3 linked regions of the Rattus norvegicus genome follow. The protein of the gene in region 2 interacts with the protein of the main gene of each other region in a biochemical or structural test. Links are inferred from orthologs where the notes say so. Each region holds a gene or a part of one and is shown on either strand. Other genes may lie near its edges. The genes, in order: Notch2, Jag1 and Notch1.

What was found.
Region 1: the proteins of Jag1 (region 2) and Notch2 form a complex in vitro, tested with the Homo sapiens proteins (2 studies listed by BioGRID). The link is inferred for Rattus norvegicus from reciprocal best matches to the Homo sapiens genes JAG1 and NOTCH2.
Region 3: the proteins of Jag1 (region 2) and Notch1 form a complex in vitro, tested with the Homo sapiens proteins (3 studies listed by BioGRID and IntAct, with this or other methods). The link is inferred for Rattus norvegicus from reciprocal best matches to the Homo sapiens genes JAG1 and NOTCH1.

Annotation. Positions count from the first base shown.
Region 1 is NC_086020.1:188,421,313-188,424,962, reverse strand, and holds part of Notch2 (neurogenic locus notch homolog protein 2 precursor), read right to left. Parts: intron 3,624-3,650; coding exon 3,413-3,623; intron 2,696-3,412; coding exon 2,599-2,695; intron 1,290-2,598; coding exon 1,121-1,289; intron 1-1,120. UniProt on the Homo sapiens protein: Functions as a receptor for membrane-bound ligands Jagged-1 (JAG1), Jagged-2 (JAG2) and Delta-1 (DLL1) to regulate cell-fate determination.
Region 2 is NC_086021.1:144,858,821-144,861,436, forward strand, and holds the end of Jag1 (protein jagged-1 precursor), read right to left. Parts: coding exon 2,191-2,616; 3' UTR 633-2,190; downstream 1-632. UniProt on the Homo sapiens protein: Ligand for multiple Notch receptors and involved in the mediation of Notch signaling. May be involved in cell-fate decisions during hematopoiesis. Seems to be involved in early and late stages of mammalian cardiovascular development.
Region 3 is NC_086021.1:29,718,814-29,723,149, reverse strand, and holds the start of Notch1 (neurogenic locus notch homolog protein 1 precursor), read left to right. Parts: upstream 1-1,536; 5' UTR 1,537-1,762; coding exon 1,763-1,823; intron 1,824-3,328; coding exon 3,329-3,407; intron 3,408-4,336. UniProt on the Homo sapiens protein: Functions as a receptor for membrane-bound ligands Jagged-1 (JAG1), Jagged-2 (JAG2) and Delta-1 (DLL1) to regulate cell-fate determination.

The sequences.
Region 1 (3,650 bases), on a different chromosome or scaffold from region 2:
CTGCGGCTCTTCCTTAAGCTGATAAGCTTTTCTGCTTGGGTTTAAGTGGAATTAGGACATTTCAAACTAGACAGCATTTTATACAGAAACATAAATAAACCTGTGCAGTGATGTAAAGCAGGGATGGCAGTCGCCTTCTGCTGTGGGGTGCAGTGGTGGCATGAATGGGAATGGCCCTCACAAACATAGGTTTGAATGCTTGGTTAACAGGGAGTGACACTACTTAGAAGGATTGGGAGGTGTGCTCTTGTTGGAGGAAGTGTGTCACTGCGGGGTGAACTTCGAGGTTTCAAAAGCCCATGCCAGGCCCAGTCTGTCTGTCTGTCTGTCTGTCTGTCTGTCTGTCTCCCTCTCTTGGTCAGTGTCTCTTTACAGCAAGGAACCCGTGATGGAGACAGATAGTATTTTTCTAACACCCCCCACCCCCCAGAATCTAACTTGTTTAATTAGCCTGCTTGCCCTCAGTATGCTGTACAAGAAACACTGCAAAATCCCTTTCTTTGAAATCTGCATTTTCAATGGAAAACACAGTTAAGGATTTATTCAGTGAGTATGAGTGTTTTGCCTACATGGATTTCTGAACCGTGCGCATGGTTCACATGCAGGGTAGGAAATGGTGTTGGAGCCACTGGAACTGAAGAAGTACATCACCATATGGTGCTGGGAACTGGAACCAGGTTCTCTGTCAAAGCCACAAGTGCTCTTTAACCACTGAGCCCGTAATTTAAAAATACTAAATATTTATGTATCTCATTGTATGTGGATGATATGCACACATATGCGTATGGCGTGTGTGTGTGTGTGTGTGTGTGTGTGTGTGTGTGTGTGAACACATGCATGTATGCACAAGCACACAAGTGCCGTAACATGCATATGGAGGCCACAGGACAACTCTGTCCAACTTTGACACGGACTCTGAGGTTGAATTCAGGTGGTCAGGCTTCCATGGAAAATACTTTTACCCACTGGGCAGCCAATGTCATTGTCCCCAGGCTCATAATCCCCACATGGCTGTATTTCTCATGCATTCATTTCCTCACGCTCACTTAGTGTCTGGAATCAGCACAAGAAATGCTCACCCAACCACACAGAACTCAAGATGGTAAGGCCCACCACTGACCTGGGCCTCGGACATTCACGTCCAGCACGTCCACCTCCTGCTCTGCCTGAGGAGGGGTGAGCGCCAGGGATGGAGTCCGGCGGATGTCTGCAGCTTCAAGGTGCTGCTGTGTCCAGGGGCGCCGGTCGACAGGGTCGTCTTCCGACAGCAAAGCCTCGTCGTCCTCAGCCTAGGTGGGGTAAACAGTTTCCCCTCATTAACCTGAGCCCTCCGGGTTACGCTGGTGAGGCTGAGGAGTGGCAGTCTTCCACTATCTCTTCTAACCTGCTTATGGTGGTCGCCTGCGTCTTGTTTGACTCCTATTTGCTCTTCAAATAAAACAAGATTTTAGTCTCGTTGGCCTTTAACAGTGGTTTCTGTTTCCTCAGCTGACCACGTGGTAAGTGCTACCTGGCACTGCATCACCACCAGCCAACCAGACGCCATCTTTCCTTCTTTAAAAGGACTTAGTGTGCAGAGCAGCGGGTTCGTTACAAACCTGCCACTGCACTTGGCTGGCACAGTCACCTCTCACCCCTTCCCGTCTTCCCTCCAGACGGCCCCTGTGCATCAGCTCTGTCTGTCTATGTACATAGTTAAATACAGGCTCCACGTGAGAGAAAGCACACGCTACTTTACTTTTCTTTCACCTGGAAGGTTCTCAAGAAGGGGGATAAACCCTGTCCAAGGTTGCCTGCCTGCACGTAAGACAGTACTCGCCCGGAGTGAGTACTGAGGAGAGCATGGGGAGAATCAGCAACTCAGAGAGAGAGCCATTGCGGCTGCTGCTGCTGTCTTGCAGACACGGAATACTAAATACAACGAGGCTTCTGCCTGACCAGAGCAATGGCTCTTTGATTTTTTGGAGATTATAATATAATTACACCATTTCTCCCTTCTCTTTCCTCTCTCCAAATCCTCCCATATACACCACCTCCTTGCTCTCTTTCAAATCTAGGTTTCTTTAATTATTAATTGTTGTTAAATGTGTCTATATCCCTAAATACAGCCCGCTCAGTCTGTAATGCTATCTGTATGTTTCCAGGGTGACAAAAGCAATACGTTTGCATTCATTTACTTTATTTGGTTTTAGAGGTAGCTGAGGCTGTCCTTAAATTTGGATTCCCTTGACTCAGCCTCTAGAATGCTGGTGTAAAGCAATGGTCTAACTGTCATGCTCGGTGATCTCCCAAGAAGTTAACGGTCTTGGCTTTCCTCACTGGGTAACTCCATGTCTTCCTACAGAAGCAGCGGGATGTATGTGTAGATGGAACTGGGAGCACCGCACCACCAGTCCTGACTCAATGAACACAGGCGCAGGCCCTGAGCCAGGCGGCAGCAGCTTGCTTTACGATTTTAAAGGGTCTTCAAGAACAAACATGAGCAGCAAAGGCTGTCAGTGCTCGGCGGCCCCGCTGTTCATGGGGCTCTGGGAAAGATATAAACTGAGAGTATGACCACAGGACTGCTGGCAATGTGGCTTTCCTAGGACAGCTTACCTTGGCTTTCTTTGGCTGGGGTCCTTCATCATCACCCCAATGCTCGCTTGTCGTGGAGCCGATCAGGTTTGCCTCTGACACTTGCACTGAGAGATTCCTGATGATTATTCAGGGGAGAGACAAGAGTACAGGTTATGGCTGGGCAAACGCAGTGGCTTTCTGTACTTCACCGCACACTCTCATGTTAGCCTCTGACTTGGTCCAATGGGATCGGATGCACAGCACTTTTTCAAAATTACAGTAATATTTTTCAAAATTGAGTGTGCATGTCTGTGTGTATATGAGCACGTGAGTTCAGGTGTCTACAGATCCCCCTGCAGCTGGAATTACAGCCAGGCCACCCAGCATGGGTGCTGGGAGCTGACCCAGGTCAGTTCATATTCTTGACTACCAAGGTATCCTTCTAGCCCCTTTCATTACATCATACACTCACAGCACAACATGAGGACGTCAGCTCCATCCTTCTACCATGCGGGTACCGGGGATCAAACAGGTCAGCAGGCTTGTGGGGGCGGGGGAGACGTTCACCTACTGAGCCACCACACCAGCCCTGATGGGCAATGTTTGACATTTCTGAGCACTCATCCTTTCTCTTCTCACTAAGAGACCACATCAAACGTGTTCCCCCACTCAGACGCTGAGTGTGGCTGCAATATGTGTACACACAATGCTCACAGACTCGGACAAGCCACTAGGAGCTGTGGTCAGGGCGAATAAAGGGGAGGTTGAAAATTTGAAGTTAGGATTCCATAATATGCCCTCCTGCTCATCCCTGCTTCTCCCTGTGGATACTGGCTTATTGTAAATTCCTTACTTCAGCCCCACGGCATCCTGCCCCACAGGTTCACGGCGCTTGTGATTGCTGGAGTCTCGGCGAAGCGTGAAGCCTTCAGGCAGCCAGAGGAAGCCGTGCTTGCGCTTCCGCTTTGCCATGATGACCCCCAGCAGGATGAGGAACAGGATAATGACCACAGCAACCGCAAGCAGATAGAGGAGCGGAGTGTTCCTTGGATCCTCCGATTCACCTGAAAGTTCAGAGACAGGGACAGTGA
Region 2 (2,616 bases):
TTGATCTTGTAACCCCTTGGAAAGTCAGAATACTGAGAACCAGGTCTCAGTAGAAGGTAGCAAGGCAGCCCAACACACACTCCCTGGACCAAGGTGGTGACTAGGTGAGCTCTAACATTAGTCTACCCACATAGTGGCAAAGAGACCCACTGAAGATAAGTGTACACACAGAGCCATAGGGTGTGGTCTGTAATGACTGCAAGGAATTACTATTAATCCAATCCAAATGGTGGAGAGAGAGAGAGAGAGAGAGAGAGAGAGAGAGAGAGAGAGAGAGAGAGAGAGAGAGAGAGAGAAAGCGCAGTCTCCCTCCTTCACCTCAATACCAAATCTGTTTAACCCTGTTAGTGCAGTGGGCACTCCCTGGGAGTGCTCCCAAACAATTCCCCTGCACACTGCAAGCCATTAATGCAGTGGTATTTATTTACACAGTATTCACACTTATCAAATGACAAGGGAATGGGGGGGGGGGGGCTGACCCTATGGCTCCTGCCTACACAGCAGCCTTGGTTTTTGAGTACTAGGAAGTTTTGCTATTTGCTTCACCCCCGCCCCTTTTCCTAGGCTATGTCCTCCGAATGAGCAGTGCCAAACAGCAGGGTGCAAAAGCCAGCTCAGAAGACTCCACACTGTTCCAGGTTTTCATACAAAAAATTTAATAAATATCACTTTTCAAAATTTATTGCCAGGAACAACACATCAAAGATGTATTTTATGTTCATATAACACTAATAGGACAATACAAAGTATCTTCCTGGGCTCCGTGGTGAGCCAGGATGACTGTTTTATAAGCCTTGTTTGATCTTGAACTTGGTAATAGCACTTTCATGTCCTCACTTAAGGCAGGCAGTGTACTCTATGGCCAATCTAAACAGTGCTCTAACTGGACATTTTATGGTTCAAGTATTCATCTAGCTTATTAGAATACTCCCTAAATGCAGTAGACAACAACAATGAAATCAAATCTACAAGTGGTTCAGCATTACATACGAATGGTGAAAAGAAATCAGAATTTACAAAGTAAGATTGGTAAGCTTCCAACTTCACACAATCTGATACTTTTAATGAGATCCAACCAGTCACATTCTGACTACATAGCTCAGTTTGTTCCCTTAAACTGCTCTGTCACAGATCGCCTGCCTGTCTCTTTTCAAGTCTAAAGCAGGAAAAAATAAAAAAAGAAAAGAGAAAAAAAAAAAAAAACCTGTTCTAGACGAATTCTCAATCTGCCTCAGTCAGTCCTTAGAATGTGTCTTAAAGTGATGCTATCAAGGAAGTGTTTGAACACCTGACGTCGTACAAAAAAAAAAAAAAAAAAAAAAAAATCCATCAGTATTCCCAGGGGAAGAAGCCTATCCCATCCTTCCAAGAGAAACTATTTCCAAACACCTTACTTTTGGCTTACAGGCAACACGTAATGAGAAAAAGTTCACAAAAAAAAAAAAAAAAAAAAAAAAAAAAAGCCATATGTTTCCAACACTATCAAAAACCTTCAATTCTAAACACATACATATAAATAAAAAGGAATGATGTTTTAAGGCTCTTGATTATTAAGTTAATAAATCAAATATACAGAGTGATTAATAAAAAAGAATTATTTACATAACTATACAAAAATTCTACTTTGACACATTTTTCCTCTTTAAATTCTTCATTTTACCAGCAACTGCTGACATCAAATCCCCCCCTCCCCCAACAACAAAAATACAATAAAAAAAATAAATAATAAAGTCATTTGTGATAGTTGCTGTGGTTCTGAGCTGCAAAGGCACTTTCAAATACAGAACTACTTGTACGTCATCATAAAACCAATATACAAAAACAACTCAAGAGTCAATAAATATAAATAAAACTATGATCCTAAGGCTGCCATCACCATTAGGACCGCTGGCAGATGTGGAAGCTCCGAGGCCTAGGCCTGGGCAGCTCCTGGGAGCCCGACGTGTCGGCTGCAGGGGAATGTACACCCGGGCACATTCACTGGTTTTTGCATAGCTGTGAGCGCTGCACTCGATTTCCCAGCCAACCACAGAAACTACCAGTGCCAGTGGAAGCCAGCTTGTCGAAACTTAAATTAACACAGGACTCTAAGTCAACAACAGCCTCAGACTGGGATACGACAACAGTTTAAAGAAACTACAAGCCCCGGGGTGCCCTCAAACTCTACCTATGGCGGCAGCCCACTGTCTGCTATACGATGTACTCCATCCGGTTCAAGCTCTGGGCACTTTCCAAGTCTCTGTTGTCCTGTTTGTTTGTCCAGTTCGGGTGTTTTGTCGGCGTGCCGCTGGGGGCCTTCTCCTCTCTGTCTACCAGCGTGTACACGGGCTGTTTGGCAAACCGGACTTTCTGCTGGTGCTTATCCATATCATCCTCTTCCACTTCCGAGTTGTGTGTCCTGATTTTTGACATTTTGGAGTTTTTGTTCTCATAATCCTTGATGGGGACTGTGTTGGCTCCGTGTTTCTCGATGGGGTTTTTGATTTGGTTCAGCTGTTCGCGCACATTGTTGGTGGTGTTGTCCTCAGGGGCAGAGTGGGTGTGGCTGCTGGGCTTCCGCCGCCGCTTCCGCACACACCAGTAGAAGGCTGTCACCAAGCAACAGACCCAAGCCAC
Region 3 (4,336 bases), about 120 Mb from region 2:
TGTTCAGCTGGTCCAATGTACAGCCATATTCATTGCTGGACAGAGACAGTGGAAGAGGTACAGACACCCATGGACAGACGGATGGCAGATGCTGTCAGGTCAGCCACTCCCCCAGACTCCAGAAGGATGAGGCCTTCTTTGTATCCAAGTCAGGTTGGGTAGCACGTGCTGGTGAAGCTGGAAAAGAGTTGCCACACACCCAGACAGCCAGAGGCCTTCAGGACCCATCTCAGAAGGGGCACTTGAGAGCCAGACGTTCCTTCTATGGAAACTGCTCTCCGGGGCTGCAGATCTCTTATATAAATATTTCTGTAGCATTGGGCGATTTTTCTCGCGGGTGTTGACCCCGTGTTGCCAACCCCCAGGCTTGAGGCCAGCTTCTGAGAGGAGCAGGAGAGGGGGGGTCTGGACAGCTGTTGGCACTGGCCCTTCAGTGCCTTCTAGAGACAGGTGTGGCAAGGGAGATGGGAGGCTCGTAGGACAATATAAGCCTGGGCCCTTACCCTGTGTCACACTCACCATCCTGTTTTGGGATGGGAAGGTGTTGTTTGTGCCAAATTCCATTGAATTTTGGCCGCAAAGGGATTAGGAAGATATCTTGGATGTCCAGTGCTAAGCAGCTTAGCACAGGATGTCCAAACCTCAAGGTGGAGAGATTTAAAACACGAGAAGAAGCTGGCGCTAGCATCATTGTAATGGGACAGCACTTTTCCGGGCCACCTAAGTGGCAGAGCCAGGGACCAGTGAGAAGAGTTACCGTGGAACGTCTAGACTCGGGTCCCTGCTGGGACTGGAGAGCGCAATCTGTCTAGCAAGGCACCGGTCCTTGGGGAGTTCCCTTGGGGAGCCCCGAGCTCCCTTCTACAGAGGCTGCGGGCGCGATGCCACCATCCTTTAAGGTCAAGCGTTCCGGAAGTCATGGCTAAGAGTGCCTGGCCTCAATCCTCCTGATGCCTATAGCCAAGACCAAACGACTCCCAAGAGTGGAGCCCCAGGGTTAGGACGCACGAAACGCTGTCAGGGTGCCACATCTAAACTCCTGCCCCGGGAGTCCCCAAAACTTGACTTCAGCTGATCCTGCCCACGGCCCCAGACCTAACTCCAGGGTAGAGCTGGTTCCTGGTGCAGCTACGCCTTTCCCACCAGACCCGCACCTCCTCTACTATTGAAATGCAAATTCTGGCCAAATGTCGCCAAGGGCCGCTACACACAAAACCTGATCCTTCCGCAGCCCCAGTTCAAACTTTTGGTCTATGTAAACTTTCGAACAAGAAGTAGTCCCTAGGTGCCTGTTCCCTACACCATGCCTTCTTGTCTTGTGAACCATAAGATCCTGACTAGAGACGCTCTCCCTAGCCCGGGGAGGCGCAGAGCCCACCAAAGCGTTGAGAGAGACAGGGTCCACAAGGGGAGTAAGGGTGCGCAGGAACCGGGGGCGGAGCGCGGTGGGATGGGGCGGGGCAGGGGCGGGCCCGCACGGGGGCGGAGCGCACGCCTGCCCTGAGCCTCACTAGTGCCTCTGCCGCGGGAGGGAGCGCAGGGGCGTGGGGCGCAGGGCGCGGGTGCGAGCGCAGTGAAGGAACGAGCCTGGGTGCCTGTAGTGCCGGGGAGACCCTGAGAGCCCAGCGCCGCCCACCCGCCAGGAAAGAGGGCAGCAGCGGGTGGACGCCCGCGGGACCGCCCGTGGTGCGCGTGAACGTCCGATCCCCGCCGGCCACCGCAAGAGGCCGCCGCCCCGGCAGCGGGCAGCTGGCGAGCAGGCATGCCGCGGCTCCTGGCGCCCTTGCTCTGCCTAACGCTGCTGCCCGCGCTCGCCGCAAGAGGTAGGCGCCCGCGAGCCCGCAACTTCGGGCGCCCTTCGGAAACTTCTGGTGCGCCCTGCGCACTCTCTGGGTAGATAGGATTAAGGGACCAGATGCCAGAGCGGGTGGACGGGACATGGAACCTGATGTCCTGGTGTATGAGAGGGACTCCTCCTTCCAGGGGTACCGATTTTTCTCATAGCGCCCAAAGACGCTGAAAGTTTGGTATGGGGCTCTGGGGCTTCGAGGCCGGGTGGCCCGGGAGGCCCAGCCCTGGCTCGCACTTGGGCAGACACTCCTGGGGCTCGCCTCGGGGGCGGACATGCTGCTTGCGCCTGCTACTTTTCGATTTGAATCGAATCGGTTTTGGTTTCCTGTTGCTTCTTGGGACCATTTATTTTCTTTCTTTTTTGCCTCCGGCCCGTGCTGGGGCGGATGTTGGGGTGCAGTATGAGGTCAGGGGCGCTATGCTCGCGTTGCTTACTTAGAGCAGGGCGGAGACGATGTGCCCTGACTTCTAGTATGGGGTTTCAGGATCACTGTCCCCTAGCCGGAATCAAACTTTAGAAGAGGGGCGATGTGCAAGCGGCAGCCTAGGGTGGGGGTGGGACTGACTCACTTTGGAAGTTTGGAAATCCTGCGCCGATTGGAACGGGGGTGGGGGGGGGCGCTTATTTCCCTGCCGGCTCCAGGAACTGGGGACTCCTGTCGTAGTAACCAACTGCACTCTTCTCCCAGTAGTTGGAGAGAACTGCCTACCCTTTCCTTAAAAGTGGGGTTTTATGTGATGCTCCAGTTTGGCCCCCACTTCGGGGCTTAATTTCTTAAGATGGGGTGGGAGGGGCTTGATTAATAGCCCCTTCCCGAGAATAGGGTGGAATTCCTTCTAAGTGAGGTTTCTAAGACCCCCTCCCTGGGTGCGGCGGGGGCTGCCCCTGGAGATGCCTGCGAACAGGTATTGGGTGTCGGAGGAGGCGGGGCAGGTCTCCGGGTGCGGCCCCGCTGCCCCAGGAGGCGGCCCTGGCGCGACAATGGGCCGCTCTGATTCCCGGGCCGGCGCTTTGTTGGAGGGCGGGGTGGCGGGCTCCGCAGCTGTCGCTTTTTCCCACGATCCGGGGAGCTGAGTGTGGCCACCCCCTCCCTCCTGCGGCCCCCTCGTATCTTGTGTTTGAACTGAAGCAAGGGTGGAGGTTGGTCGGGGGCTTTTTCTGGGCTCCTTAATCCACTCCCACTTCGACTGCGTGGTTAGAAGTTTGGGAGAATTTCCTAAGTTTTTCTGTTGCCGTCCACTTCGCCTCACTGTGAATGGGGCTGTACACCTGCCACATAGCCAGCCTATCCCTTCCCCACTAGTTTTTGACTGCCACGCTGTGAGCAGAACATTGATCCGTAAGGGCTACCCAGAAGCTCCCCCTCCCACGCTTCACCTCCGGACTGCCAGTAACTCTAGTACATAGGCACCATGGCTTTAGTCTCCGTCCACCGGCAGGACCGAGACTGACCTCTCTCTTCTGACCCTTTCCCAGGCTTGAGATGCTCCCAGCCAAGTGGGACCTGCCTGAATGGAGGGAGGTGCGAAGTGGCCAACGGCACTGAAGCCTGTGTGTGAGTACCGCCCCTGAGGGGACCTGTTGCTTTTGTCAGAGCAGAGCCCCTGCCTTCTGGGGACAGAACACTGGGCTATTGTCTTCGGAAGACAGCCCAGAGGTTGAGTGCAGTCACGTGCTGACTTTTATTGGACAAAGTCTGGCAATTACTTAATCACCAGCAATTATGCCTCGTGTGGAGCTACTCTGGCCCCTGGAGGTTGGCACGCTCCCTCGTGGGCCCTCAGGCTCCTGGGAATCCACGGCACCCTAATTCCTGTTTAAAATACTTGAGAAACAGTTGTTTTTGGTGATGAGACTGAAAGTCTGAGCCCCCGCCCCTTGTCACCTGAGATCCCATTCTGAGCAAGAGTGCCCTAGGTAGGAAATTGAGTATTGCGTGTGTTCTGGTTTTGTTGGTACTGGTGTTTTGGGTTTTTTTTGTTTGTTTGTTTGTTTGTTTGGTTTTTTTGTAGACAATATCTCACAATGTATCTCTGGCTGTCCTCAAACTTCACTATGTAGACTTTGAACTCAAGAGATCTGCCTGCCTCTGCCCAGTGGAAATTTCCTATTTTAAGACAAGATCCACCTCTCCCTGAGGTTAGGAGAAGTTAGAATGGTCCTTGTTGGTACTGCTGTCTGGGTGGTGGGTGTAAGTGCTGGAGTCTGTCTTCTGTCTTGGCAGCTGCAGCCCCACCTCTGCACTGTGTTCCAGGGGTCCTCAGCCTCAGGCCATCAACTGTGCAGCTGGCGTGATTTGGGGATGGGAAGGAGTAGGCAGCCAGGGGAAGTCTGCTGGTGCTAGGGCTCGTGCCTTTCAACTTGAGCTCCTCCCCGATGAGACTAGCAAGGTGCTGGAAGCTGAGGCCTCCCCTGGAGGCTGGAGACAGAGAAGGCTCCAGCCTGCATGGCGCGCCCTCATTCCAAATGCTGAAGGGCCCATCC